3 linked regions of the Oryctolagus cuniculus genome follow. The main gene of each other region encodes a partner of the protein of the gene in region 2 in a complex. Links are inferred from orthologs where the notes say so. Each region holds a gene or a part of one and is shown on either strand. Other genes may lie near its edges.

Region 1 (4,731 bases), on a different chromosome or scaffold from region 2:
ACTTGGTAAAAGTCTAATGAGAAACAAGAGAGTTACAAAGTCTCAACCTATCTCCTCACAAATTGGTTAAAAGTTACAAAAGGAGGAGAAACTGCTGACAGTGCACAAACCCAGCACAGGGCTCTTGTCCAAAGTAACTAAAGGTAACAGGGCTGATGATGGGATCAACTATCAGAATGTGCCTCTTCCTAGGCGTGCTGAGAACACAGTCTCACTGCTGCGAGGTCCCAGCCAAGAACGCTTAACCTGAATCTACTGAAGAAACACCTAACAAACTACACTGGGTGAGCGTCGACCAAACAGGAGGCACACACTCCCAAAAATGTCCATGTCATCAACGCCAAAGAAAGGCCGAGGAACGTTCCTCCTAAGACTAAAGAGACTGGCAGCTGCACGCAAGGCAGCCTGTCTCGGACCAGAGGGAGAAACTCTGTGATAAACAGTATTAAACAATGGGTGGCTGGCACTGTGGCGCAGCAGGTTAAGCTTCAGCCTGAGGTGCCAGAATCCCATATGGGTGCTGGTTCAAGTCCTGGCTGCTCCACTTCCGATCCAGCTCCCTGCTGATGGCCTGGGAAAGCAGAAGATGGGCCAAGCCCTTGGGCCCCAGTACCCATGTGGGAGACCTGGAAAAAGCTCCTGCTGCTGGCTTTGGATCGGCCCAGCTCGGCTGTTGCGACCACTGGGGAGTGAACCAGCGGATGAAGACCTCTCTCTCTCTCCCTGTCTCTGTAACTCTACCTCTCAAATATATAAATAAATCTTAAGAAAAAATTGGCAAAATGTGGACATCTACAGATTGGAAAATAATATTGTATCATTGTTAAACTTCCTGATACTGCCAATTATACCATGGTCAGGAAAACAAGCCTCCCTATTCTTTTTTTTTTTTTTTAACAGGCAGAGTGGACAGTGAGAGAGAGAGACAGAGAGAAAGGTCTTCCTTTTGCCATTGGTTCACCCTCCAATGGCCGCAGCGGCCAGCGCGCTGCGGCCGGCGCACCGCGCTGATCCGATGGCAGGAGCCAGGCGCTTCTCCTGGTCTCCCATGCGGTGCAGGGCCCAAGCACTTGGGCCATCCTCCACTGCCCTCCCTGGCCACAGCAGAGAGCTGGCCTGGAAGAGGAGCAACCGGGACAGAATCCGGCGCCCTGACCGGGACTAGAACCTGGTATGCCGGCGCCGCAAGGTGGAGGATTAGCCTAGTGAGCCGCGGTGCCAGCCTTAGCCTCCCTATTCTTTTAAAATAAGCACTGAACAATTCAGGAGTGAAGGGCATGTCTGCAACACACTCTCAAATAATTCAGAAAGAAAGTAGTACTTCCGTATGCAGGTAAGCATGTAGAGAGAAAACACGTGTGTCAAACTGCTAACAGTGGGTGAGATTCAGGAAAGAATCCTGGTATACTTTGTTCTATTTCTGCAACTTTTCTGTAAGCCTGAACTTACTTCAAAAAAGGTAGAGCTAAACAGGCAAAGTGTCTCTAGCTGTCCGTTTCCTTACTGTTCCCTCCGTATCTCATAGGCTTGAAACACAAATCTCAGACATGCTTACCGACTCTGGAGCAGCTGCTCTGAGCTTGACTTCAAATTATAAAAATAAGTCAGGGTCAAAGTCCTTGGCAAACCACAAGAAAGGTTTGGAAACACTACTGACTATGCACACTGGCCGACTGTGCCAACAGTGAGAATCACTTCGACTAGTCACCCTTTTTCATCTGTTAGTTCCACAGACTCTCCCCACTACAGCTATCACGCCACGTACGGCAGCCGTGTAACCTGTCCACAAGGCTGCCTTCCGGCTGCACACGGACAAGTCAAGCTGTGCTTCCTGGAATCCTTCCAAAAACTCGGCTGGACCTGGCTCACGTCTGGAGTCTCTGAGGAAAACAGCAAAACAAAAAAGACGGGGCAAGGACCTGGAGGGCCTGAGTGTGAGTTTTTTAAGGGGAGGAAGAGGGTTGTGACAGAACAAGGAACCCGCACAAGGAAAGGAGCCGTCTACAGACATCTGGGGGGACGAGCAGGTAGGTCCTGGGGTGCGTGGGAACGCGCACACACACAGAAGAGATGTGACGGGCTGGCGCTGTGAGTGGGCGAGCATCCTCCGGGGACGCCAGCACCCCGTATGGACGCCGGTTCAAGTCCCGGCTGCTCCTCTTCCGATCCAGCTCTCTGCTGTGGCCTGGGAAAGCAGTGGACGATGGCCCAAGTCCTTGGGCCCCTGCACCCACGTGGGAGACCTGAAGGAAGCTCCTGGCTCCTGGCTTTGGCCTGGCCCAGCCCGGGTCTTGCAGCCCTTTGGAGAGTGACCCAGTGGAAGGCAGCTCTCTCTGTCTCTCCTTTTCTCTCTGCAACTCTTTTTTTTTTTTTTTTTTTGTCAAGAATGATATAGACTTTCATCCGTTTTAAACTCTGACTTTCAAATAAAATAAATCGTTGAATAACAAGAAATGGTAGCAAAGGCACAAAGCATCAGGGACGTGTCCAACCCAAGTCTAGCTAGCAATCTTTGTGTCCCACTTAAATAAAACTCGAGAAAGCCTAGCACGTGTGCAAGACCAACGTCTGTCCCTGGCCATCGGCCTCCCAAGACCGCTCTCCCACAGCGTGCAGACCCTAATTCATTAACTAACTCCCTCTGGGCCGGAGAGAGGAAGGTGACGAACCCCGGACCCGCACCGCCCGCAAGTCCTCGGCCCCCCGCCCGCGCAGCGGCGCCCACCCGGCCTGCACCCGGCGGCGGACGGTCACGCTGACCTCTACCCTCTGACCCGAGCCGGCGGCCCGGAAGGAGTCAAGGGCAGGGCCCAGAACTCTGCTGGGACCCGAGGGAGCCATGACCTTCGACAAGCCCCTCTCGGGGTCGGCACAGGGAGCCCCTCTCGTCCGGACTCACCGCCCGCCGCAGCTGCCCAGGAGCTACCGCTCGCAGCATGGTCGCTGTGCTGGTTCGCGCCGCGGTCCCCTCAGCCTCGCCAGCCCCGAGCCCCGCCGCACGGCACCGCCTCCTCCAGTCACCCTAAAGCCTCGCGAGACGCGCGGACGGACGAGAACGCGAGCCCGGGGCCGGCTGAGCGAGCGGACGGTTCCCGCCTGCCGATTGGACGGTCGCGCAGCCAATGGGAGCGGCGGAAAGTTGAAGCCTGGGCTTGGAGTAGGGCAAAGGTGAGGCCGCTGTGTGCCGCGCCCGGCCGCGGAGCTGCAGAGGCGGCGCGTCCGCACGCGGCTGGCGGCTGCGCCCGGGCTGTCCTAGCCCCGTCGGGGTTGCCCACAGCGGTTGCCATCAGCTTTCCGTCCTGGCTTCCCAGCCCCGTCCACTGTCCCGCTGCATTCATTCTTGCCCACTCATTCATTCATTTATTCGCAGGGTCAGCTGTTACACCTGTAATGAGCTAAAAACACTTCGCCCAGTGAAGGGAATATAGTAAAAGAACGCAGAAGATCTTGCCCTGCCCGTCGGGGGATTTTATGAGACTCTGGAGGAATGCTACAAATAATTAAGCCTAGCATGACCCTAAAGGGAGAAGGGGTTCTGACGCTGGTGGTCGTTTGAACTGAATTTAGACGGAGGAGCCGTGTGGACACACAGTGGGCACAGTGCCAGGGCGAGGTGCAGAATTCTGTGTGCCGCCTGCGGAAGGGACCGGCCTGGCATGAGGATGTGCGTGTCCCTGGGCAGTTGCACCCCCACCCTGGGGTCAATGCCATGGGTGCAGGGTGCAGCGGCCCCTGGCCTTTGGGTCCACTTATCGACCCGCCCACTGGGCCTGACCCCAGCAAGCCCTGCACGCCTCTAGCTCTCCTCCCACCTGACCTTGAAAACCCATTGCCTGGACCAGCTGATCCTTTCCCCTTCTCTGCCACCCTCATGGTTCTGGGCTGAGGATCCAGGAAACGTGTCTGTGGGAGAGGCCGTTTAGTATCCCCGTTAGCTCTGCATTTGCTCCAAGCCAGGCCTCCACCGATCTCAAACCTGTGCCCTATGCAAATGGAAGAAGTGGGAAGGAGGCAATTCAAGTTAAAAAATGAAAGAGATTTTTGACTCAAAGCCGTGTAAAAAGCGAGATGTAAGCTAACCCCCTTCCCTGCCCCCTGCCACTGGTGACAAAGCAGAAACAGAGGGGAGAGCAGCCTCCCCAGCCCCGCCCCCTCGGGGCAGCTCTGGCACCTGCCGGGCTGCAGTGAATCAGCAGTGGCTGTGCCCAGCGGAGGCACAGTGCCCATGGGACATGGTGGTTCCTGGCAGAGGAACGGCAGAAAATGGCCCAGGTCTGTGGCAGGAGACCAGACCGGCCCTGCACACACAGGGGAGGCCCCTCGCATCTGTGCGGCTCTCACAGCTGAGCTGGGGTCAGAGCCTGCTGCCCCCACGGTTACCTGGGGATCCCAGGCCCAGCTGCCAGTCCTCTGGTCAGGCGTGCTGCACCTGTCTGTCCATTATTACAACCGGGCGAGGGAGGACCCGGGGCACCCAAGGCAATCCCTGTTGGCCAACCTAGGGACTCCTGCTCTTGCCCTCTGGCCCCTGCCCTAAGTTCCCCGGGTAGCTTACAGCTCAGTGGACTCTTGCCACATCCTTTGGCGGAAGGCTCCCCGTTGGAGGACAAAGACCTGCAGCCCTGCATGGTGGAGTCACAGCGTCGCACGCAGCTGTTTGATTCAAGACGCACTTGGCATCCCGGAGGACACGCCCCCGTCCTCGTAAAGCCCTGCCTCCCAGCTGGTGTT
Region 2 (3,558 bases):
CCTATCAAATCCAAATCTGTGTCTGATTTTTTTTTTCCTTCACCGTGTCATCTCTTCTCAGCAGTTTGGAGGAACTTGGAGCTTTCCATTTTTTTCCTTTTAGCTCTTTTTTTTAATCAAGTATTTCTGTGTTGGTGCATTCATGTTGACAGAATTTCATATGTACATTTTATTAAATGTTATTGTAGCTTATTTACAGCTAACAAGTAAAATACTATTCACTTAATATCTGTCATCCTCTTCCGGATCTTCCTTACCAAGTATCTTATGATAACTCTTGGTTATTTTGATTGTTATCTAACTCAGTATGGAGTCTCCTTCCATTATCTTCCATTTTCCTTAATAAAGTCAAAGATTCATTTATTAAATATAGAAAAGTCTTAGTCTTTGCTTACTACTTAACTCAAAATACAATCTTTTATTATTTGATTTCTTCCAATGATTTGCCTCCCTTTTAAATACTCTGCACAGGGGCCAGCACTGTGGCGTAGCGGGTAAGACCACCGCCTGCAGGGCTGGCATCCCATATGGGCGCTGGTTCGAGTCTCGGCTGCTCCTCTTCCAATCCAGCTCTTGTGGGAGACCCAGAAGAAGCTTCTGGCTCCTGGTTTTGGATTGGCACAGCTCCAGCTATTGCAGCCAACTGGGGAGTGAACCAGTGAATGGAAGACCTCTCTCTCTCTGCCTATCCTTCTTTGTGTAATTCTGACTTTCAAGTAAATAAATAAATCTTTTTTTAAAAAATTAAATAAATAAATACTCTGCACAGTGCTGAGTTGCCTGCATTTTCAATTAACAAATACGTATGAAGCCTTCAAAAAGTGCATGGAAAATGCAAATTATGAAAAAACTATTCATAAACTTCAAATTGTTTTGCACCAAAATGTACTTTTTTTAAAAGATTGATTTATTTATGTTGAAAATCAGGATTATAGAGAGAGAGACAGATAGACAGAAAGATCTTCCATTCACTTGTTTACTCCCATGATGGCCGCAATAGCCAGGACTGGGCCAGGCTGAAGTCAGGAGCCAGGAGCTTCATCCAGGTCTCCCACATGGGTAGCAGGGGCCCAAACACTTGAGCCATTTTCCACTGCTTTTCTGAAGCCATTAGCAGGGAGCTGGATCTGAAGCGGAGCAGCCAGGACTTTTAATTGGCACCCAGATGAGATGCTGGCATCACAGGTGGTGGCTTTACCCGGAGAGCCACAATGTCAGCCTTAAACTTACATTAATTAAATTTTCTATGAACTTTTTGAAGTACTCTTGTTTTGTCCCATCTGTGTACTCTGCTCTGTGTAACTCCAGTCTGCTAGAATTTTCTGTATGTAGCATAACATACACAAAGAATAACTTCATACTTAGAAACTATACTTAAATAATTGTTTAGCCATTTCACATTTTTTGTAAAGATTTATTTATTTAAGAGAGAGGTAGAGTCAGAGAGAGAGAGAGAGGTCTTCCATCTGCTGGTTCACTTCCTAAATGAACGCAATGGCCAGAGCTGAGCTGATCCGAAGCCAGAAGCCAGGAGCCAGGAGCTTCTTCTGGGTCTCCCACGCGGGTGCAGGGGCCCAAGGAGTTGGGCCATCTTCTACTGCTTTCCCAGGCCATAGCAGATAGCTGGATCAGAAGTGGAGCAGCCAGGACTTGAACTGATGCCCATATGGGATGCCAAGCGCAGGGGCCCAAGGACTTGGGCCATCTTCTACTGCTTTCCCAGGCCATAGCAGATAGCTGGATCAGAAGTGGAGCAGCCAGGACTTGAACCGATGCCCATATGGGATGCCAGCACTGCAGGCTGGGGCTTTAACCTGCTGCACCATAGTACAGCCTCCTCACATTTAATATTAGAAAATACAACCACCTATCAACACATACTCAGCTGTTTTTCATATGAAAATTTGGAACCAATACTTTGGGTGTAACTATAGGAAGAGATAATTACTGTGAACATTTTATTCTGTTTATTTTTTTTTTTTTTTGATGTATATATTTGTCTAAAGTTGTAACCATACTACATGTTGCAAAATTCCACCTAATACTATGTGGTGAACATATTTCTGTCTTGTAACATGTCATGGCTGTACAACTCAAAGAGAACTTACCAATGATTCTTGAAGGTATTTGTATTACTTTTCCTATTTGATTATGTACTAAGGATAAAAAGCAGCTTTTATTTCTCCTTTCTGCATCATTATCTGATACAATGCCATGTTGTTTTTTTCTATCTGCAATAATTTCCTTTAAAAAGTCTGAGAAACTCAGGACATACATATATTTGTGGTTTTCATGTCCCAAATGCATACTGCCATTCCAGTCATGAGAAAACACTAGACAAACACTGAGGAACATTCTACAAAAAATAATCAGCATTCTTCACATGTTCAAAGGTCATAAAAGATAAGGAAAAACAGGAATTGCAAACAGCCTAGGAAAGACAAAGAAGGTTCTACTTCCAGTCCAGCTTCCTGCTAATGCTTCTGTCAGGGCAGCAGACAACTGCTTGGACCACTTCCACCTAGGTGGCAAACCAGGATGGAATTCCTGGTTCCTGGCTTTGGTCTGGCCCAGCTTTGGCTGTTATGGCCATTTGGTAAATGAACTAGTGGATAGAAGATCAGTTCATCTTCTCTTTCTCTCTCTCACTCACTGCCTTTCAAGTAAATAAATGCATAAATCTATAAAACAACTTGAGTAAAGGTCTATAATATTGGGCCAGCACTGTGGCGTAGCAGGTAAAGTTGGCACCTGCAGTGCTGGCATCCCATATGGGCACCGGTTCGTGTCCTGGCTGCTTCGCTTCAAATTCAGCTCTCTGGTATGGCCTGGGAAAGCAGTAGAAGATGGCCCTAGTCCTTGGGTCCCTGCACCTGCATGGGAGACCCAGAAGAAGCTCCTGGTTCTTGGCTTTGAATCAGCCCAGCTCCAGCCATTGTGGCCATTTGGGAAGTGAACCAGCAGATGGAAGACTTCTCTCTCTCTCTCTCCCTCTCCCTCGCTTCCCCTCTCTCTCCTCCTCCCCCTCCCTCTCCCCCTCCCTCTCCCCCTCTCCCTCTTCGTCCCTCCCTCCCTCTCTCCCTTTCTGCTTCTACCTCTCTAACTCTGCCTTTCAAACAAATAAATAAATCTTTAAAAAAGAGCCTATAATGTATTTGATAATATTGTGCCAGTGTTAATGTCCTGTTGATCATTGCAGTATGATTTTATAATGTGTTAACATTAGAGAAAGATGGGGGGAACTCTGTTGAAAATCTAAAATTAATTCTAACTTTTAAAAAATGTCCTAGGAGAAAAGCTTTTAAGTTTTGCCTATGGATATTTTTAACTCTTTTTTCACTTTAATTCTAGCACCAAGCAGTATCATTTTTGCTGGCTGAGATGGCAATGAAAGTTGAACTAGCTAGAATGAGTTACCAGAGAGCAGCTTGGGAGGTGGATTCTGGTCGGCGAAATACCTATTATGCTTCTATTGCAAAGGCATTTGCTGGAGATATTGCAAATCAGGTTGCTACTGATGCTGTACAGATTTTTGGAGGCAATGGATTTAATACAGAA
Region 3 (4,755 bases), on a different chromosome or scaffold from region 2:
ATGGGCGGCGCGTTCCTCAGCTTCCTGGCCAACATCCTCACGGTGCTGTCCACCGCCAGCAACTACTGGACGCGCCACCATGGGGGTCACAGCGGCCTGTGGCAGGAGTGCAGCCACGGCACCTGCTCCAACATCCCCTGCCAGAGTGAGCGGCCCGGGGCCGGGCGGCGTCCGCCCTCCGCGCGCGCCACCTCCAGGCCTCTCGGTCCGCGCCCGGCCCAGCCCCGGGTGGGGGCGCCCAGTGCGGCAGGCTGACGCGGCCCGCTCGCCCGCAGCCATGCTGGCCGTGACCGGGGCGTGCATGGTGCTGGCGACCGGCTTCGGCATCGTGGCCACGGTGATGGGAATGAAGATTCTGTGCCATCAGGGGGAGTCGCTGCGGGGCCAGGTCACGAGCGCCTTCCTCTTCCTCGCCGGTGAGACGGCGGCGGCGCCCGGGGGCGGAGCTGGGAGGGGTGGGCGTGGCCTGACAGACGGGGCGGGAGGCCGCGGGGAGGGGCGTGGCTGGAGGCGTGGGCTGGACGCGGGGGCGTGGCTGGAGGCGTGGACGGGACGCGGGGTCGTGGCTGGCGGAGGGGCAGGGCCCGGGGCGGACGGCGAGGTGTGGGCGGGACGCGGGGGCGTGGCTGGCGGAGGGGCAGGGCCCGGGGCGGACGGCGAGGCGTGCGTGGGCCCGCGGCGGCCCCACCTGCGCCTGGCCACGCTCACCCGAGGCGCTGGCGGGCCGGCCCAGGTTTGCTGCTGCTGATCGCTTTGACGGGCTACACAGTGAAGACTGCCTGGAAGAACGACGTCTTCTTCTCCTGGTCCTATTTCTTGGGGTGGCTGGCTTTACCCTTCTCTATTCTCGCGGGTAACCTGGGCCGCGGGGAGAGGGGACACTGCCCTGGGACGCCCCGCCCTCGCCAGGGCCCGACCCTAGCCCCGCCCCTCCTTGGGCCCCGCCCCCGCCCAGCCCCGCCCCCGCAGAGCTGGGCAAGCCGCGCGCCCCCAGCCCCCGCACTGGGACCCCCTTCCCCTCCGCGCCCCCGCCTTCCCGGCCCCTCCCCCACCCCCGACCCCGCAGAACTGGCCGAGCCGCGCGCCCCCAGCCCCCGCACTGGGACCCCCTTCCCCTCCCCCGCCTTCCCGGCCCCGCCCCCACCCCCGACCCCGCAGAACTGGCAGAGCCGCGCGCCCCCAGCCCCCGCGCCGGGACCCCCTTCCCCTCCCGCCAGGCTTCTGCTTCCTGCTGGCGGACATGATCGTGCAGAGCACGGACGCCATCAGCGGCTTCCCGGTGTGCCTGTGAGCGCAGCCCGTCCCGACGCGGAATAAAGGAACGGATTTCGGCCACGCGGCTCCGCGCGCCTCTCGGGGGGACAGGGCCACGGGGGGCGGGGGCCGTGCACGCGGCTGACCTGGGGTCGTCCCCCGGGGTCACGGGTACAAAGGGCGCGGCGACTCGGAGAGGCGGGCAGGCGGCCGGCCCCCGCACGACCTTTCCCCTAATTTCCCGCCACGCCCCCTTCTGGCCACGCCCCGTCCCCCTCCCGCTCCAGACCGGCTCTCCGTGGGTCCGCGTCCGCTGGCCACACCCCTCCTTACCTCCGGCCTCCTGATTGGTCACCTTTCCGGGCGGGGCGCGGACTGCGCAGCCGCGGAGTGGCGGGCGGCGCGGCGCGCAGGCGCAGAGAGGGACGGGGGCGGGGCGTTCGGGCGGGGAGGTCCGGGGTGCCGCCGGCCCCGGCCGCTGGCTGCTGCGGGAAGATGGCGGAGCTGCGCGCGCTCGTGGCTGTCAAGAGGGTTATCGACTTCGCCGTGAAGGTGACCGGGGCCTCCCCCCTTCCTGCTTCCAAGTGGTGCCCCGCGGCCGTGGGCTTCCGGGATCACGAGCGCGCCATGGGCGGGGGTCTGCTCGTAACCCCTGACCCAGTCGTCAAAGTCACGGGCAGACGCCGAGGACTGTGAGGTCGCGACCCCGTGCACACTCTCCCGATGACTGTCCTAGCGGCCGGAGCAGCCACGAGCCTTGCTTAACGCGGGGAAACTGAGGCACGGCGCGCCCACCCGGCCGGGGAGGGCCAGGGCCGGGGGTCCCGTCCACGACCCCCCGGTTCTTCGCTCGGACTCGGCGCGTGGCTCCGAGGCGAGCTTTCTGACCGCAGCCCCCGGAGTGTGCAGACTGGGGGGACCCCCAGAAGCCGGCGTTCCCCGTCCGCGGCCCCCGGGGGTGAGCGCCAAGGCTCTGGCTGGGGAGGGGCCGACAGGGGTGAAAGGTCAAGCTTGGGGGTGGTGGGGCAGGGGCTTCAGGTCCCCAGAGCCCGGCTTGGAGGCGGGAAGCAGCCCCTCCGTTTCTCTCAGTGCTTGGCCTGAGCTGCCCATGTGGCTCCGCTGTGCCAGCAGCGCGGGCGCTCACCTCTGGGTGCCCCCCCAGCCCGTCCCGGGGCGCTGAGGCCCACTGGGGCCCTGTCTTCCCCAGAGCACCCAGCCAGGACAGAAACCCAGCCAGGCCAGCCCAGCTCCGGACCGCCTGCCGCTCCCTCCCGGGCGTGGGCCAGGGCTGAGTGGCGCTTCTCCAGGGGTCGCGCGACCCCGCGCTCCTGCTTGGAGCCCCCCTCCCCTGGACTCCTGCAGCCCCCTAGGGCTCCCTCCGCCCCGGGCCTGGGCGCAGGTCTGTCTCCACTCAGTCAGTCCGGCACAGAGCCCTGCGCACGGGTGCCTCCAGCGTGTTCGGCCCCGCCTGCACCTGCCTGCACCTGCGCCTGCACACTGCCCCCCTTCCATCCCGCTGGGCGTGTCTGTCGACGCCCCTTTCGGAACAAACAGGGGATCCAGACACTGCAGCTACCGGAACACCAGGCCTGGACGCCGTCCACGCCCCTCCAGGGTCCTCTCTACCTCCCCTGGCCCCTTGCCCTAGTCTCCTCGCACACCCGCAGTCTCTCCCCTCAGCCTGGCCTTAGGGATCCCGGCGGCCCCGCTCAGGCGGCCATGTCCCCTCTGGGACCCTCACCCCACCTGCTCCTCCTTTCCCTGGCTCCGGCCCCCCCTGCTTCCGGTCCCAGCGTCACCACCTCCAGGAAGCCCTCCATGCACCTCCTCAGGTTACTGAGGTGTGTCTCAGGGCCCCTGCAGAACCCTGGCTTGCCTCTACCGCCCTCCCCCACACACACCAGGCCCTCGTGGCCACACCCACCTCCCACCCCCAGCCTGGCAGCTGTTGCACTGCTCACCCCGTCGTCACCTCTGTGGGGCCTTCCGTGGTCGTGGTCGCCTGCTTGAAGCCACAGCCCCAGAGTCCCCCCCCCCCCCCCCCCGCCGGACAGTGGAATTTACTCCCTACTGCTTTAGTGCCTGTCCCCTTCCTCTGGAATGGGCAGTGGCAAGAGGTCGTGGGATGTGTTCGCCGCTGGCAGGTGCACCACTGGAAACGGGACAGTGCGAGGCGCGTGCTAGGTGGTGGCTGGCGCTGCTGGAGGCCGCGGGGGACACTGTGGAGTCGCTGAGGGCAGGTGCCTCTGTTTCCCGGTCCGAACGGCCTCTGCCCCCCTCGGGGCTCCCGCTCTGGCCGTGTGTGGGAAGGCAGGTGCCTCTGTGTTTCCCGATCCGAACGGCCTCTGCCCCCCCCCCCGGGCGTGGGGCTCCCGCTCCGGCCGTGTGTGGGAAGGCAGGTGCCTCTGTTTCCCGGTCCCCACGGCCTCTGCCCCCCTCGGGGCTCCCACTCCGGCCGTGCGTGGGAAGGCAGGTGCCTCTGTGTGTTTCCCGGTCCCCACGGCCTCTGCCCCCCCCCTCGGGGCTCCCGCTCCGGCCGTGCATGGGAAGGCAGGTGCCTCTGTGTGTTTCCTGGTCCCCACGGCCTCTGCCCTCCTCGGGGCTCCCGCTCCGGCTGTGCGTGGGAAGGCAGGTGCCTCTGTGTGTTTCCTGGTCCCCACGGCCTCTGCCCCCCCTCGGGGCTCCCGCTCTGGCCGTGCATGGGAAGGCAGGTGCCTCTGTGTGTTTCCCGGTCCCCACGGCCTCTGCCCCCCCCGGCGGGGGGGCTCCCGCTCTGGCCGTGCGTGGGAAGGCAGGTGCCTCTGTGTGTTTCCCGGTCCCCACGGCCTCCGCCCCCCTCCCCGGGGGGCTCCTGCGGCACCCCCTCCGGCCTGTTTTCTCCAGATGTCTCATGGGAAGGTGTGCTGGCTGCCCCTCCTGCCCCCGCGTGGCCCTGGCTGCTGTGCTGGCTCTGTGCCCCAGCACGTGGCCGGCCACGCACAAGGACAGCCTGCATCCAACCCAGTCCCTGGGGGCTGTGTCCAGGGTTCGAGAAGAGTTGCCAGGAATCTACAGGGAGCCTCCTGGACACAGGGCAGCCGGTCCCGAGGCCCTGTCCTCCCTGCCGGGGCACGCTTGGGGACAGACCGCAGGTGTCGTGGCCAAGGCACATGGCCTTCCTGCCCCTCGGTCACTCCATCTGAAGTGAGGGTGGGACGGGCAGTGGCCAGCCCACAGGCCTCCAGGTGAAGCGATTAACATGCCACAGCACTGCCCGCGCGGGCCCTGGCTGCTTTGGGTACTCCGAAATAAACGAGACCAAAAAACCCAAAAACCCTTCTTACCGATTCTCAGGCCAGCCAGGGTTTCCTGACTTAAACGACACAGTGCCTCCAGGCCTCAAAGGCCTTCCACGGACAGCAGGTGCTGGGTGCTGAGTTCTCACCTCTGTGCCTTGGGAGTCGGGGGCCGGGCCCCCGCCCCGTCTCCTCCTGGCCCCTAAAGAGAAGGTTTCCCATTCTG

Evidence for each region.
Region 1: the proteins of ACADM (region 2) and ETFA are in contact, whole or in part, in a crystal structure (PDB 2A1T), measured with the Homo sapiens proteins. The link is inferred for Oryctolagus cuniculus from reciprocal best matches to the Homo sapiens genes ACADM and ETFA. Residues at the interface, in NP_000007.1 of Homo sapiens: Pro163, Lys173, Pro211, Gln232, Arg235, Glu237, Val251, Glu253; in NP_000117.1 of Homo sapiens: Arg223, Lys226, Arg249, Asp253, Ala283, Ile284, Gln285, Glu304.
Region 3: the proteins of ACADM (region 2) and ETFB are in contact, whole or in part, in a crystal structure (PDB 2A1T), measured with the Homo sapiens proteins. The link is inferred for Oryctolagus cuniculus from reciprocal best matches to the Homo sapiens genes ACADM and ETFB. Residues at the interface, in NP_000007.1 of Homo sapiens: Glu43, Gln44, Lys46, Glu47, Phe48, Thr51, Lys54, Phe55, Glu58, Glu59, Arg80, Glu83, Leu84, Gly85, Leu86, Leu98, Leu100, Ile108; in NP_001976.1 of Homo sapiens: Glu73, Arg76, Thr77, Tyr192, Ala193, Thr194, Leu195, Pro196, Ile198, Met199, Lys202.

Annotation. Positions count from the first base shown.
Region 1 is NC_091443.1:106,938,494-106,943,224, forward strand, and holds the start of ETFA (electron transfer flavoprotein subunit alpha, mitochondrial), read right to left. Parts: upstream 3,099-4,731; 5' UTR 2,939-3,098; coding exon 2,900-2,938; intron 1-2,899. UniProt on the Homo sapiens protein: Heterodimeric electron transfer flavoprotein that accepts electrons from several mitochondrial dehydrogenases, including acyl-CoA dehydrogenases, glutaryl-CoA and sarcosine dehydrogenase.
Region 2 is NC_091438.1:96,227,491-96,231,048, reverse strand, and holds part of ACADM (medium-chain specific acyl-CoA dehydrogenase, mitochondrial), read left to right. Parts: intron 1-3,351; coding exon 3,352-3,558. UniProt on the Homo sapiens protein: Medium-chain specific acyl-CoA dehydrogenase is one of the acyl-CoA dehydrogenases that catalyze the first step of mitochondrial fatty acid beta-oxidation, an aerobic process breaking down fatty acids into acetyl-CoA and allowing the production of energy from fats.
Region 3 is NC_091449.1:6,947,354-6,952,108, forward strand, and holds the start of ETFB (electron transfer flavoprotein subunit beta), read left to right. Parts: upstream 1-1,657; 5' UTR 1,658-1,749; coding exon 1,750-1,806; exon of another isoform or gene 1,807-2,212; intron 2,213-4,755. Other genes in the region: CLDND2 (claudin domain-containing protein 2), read left to right, coding at 1-145, 276-416, 734-853, 1,218-1,291. UniProt on the Homo sapiens protein: Heterodimeric electron transfer flavoprotein that accepts electrons from several mitochondrial dehydrogenases, including acyl-CoA dehydrogenases, glutaryl-CoA and sarcosine dehydrogenase.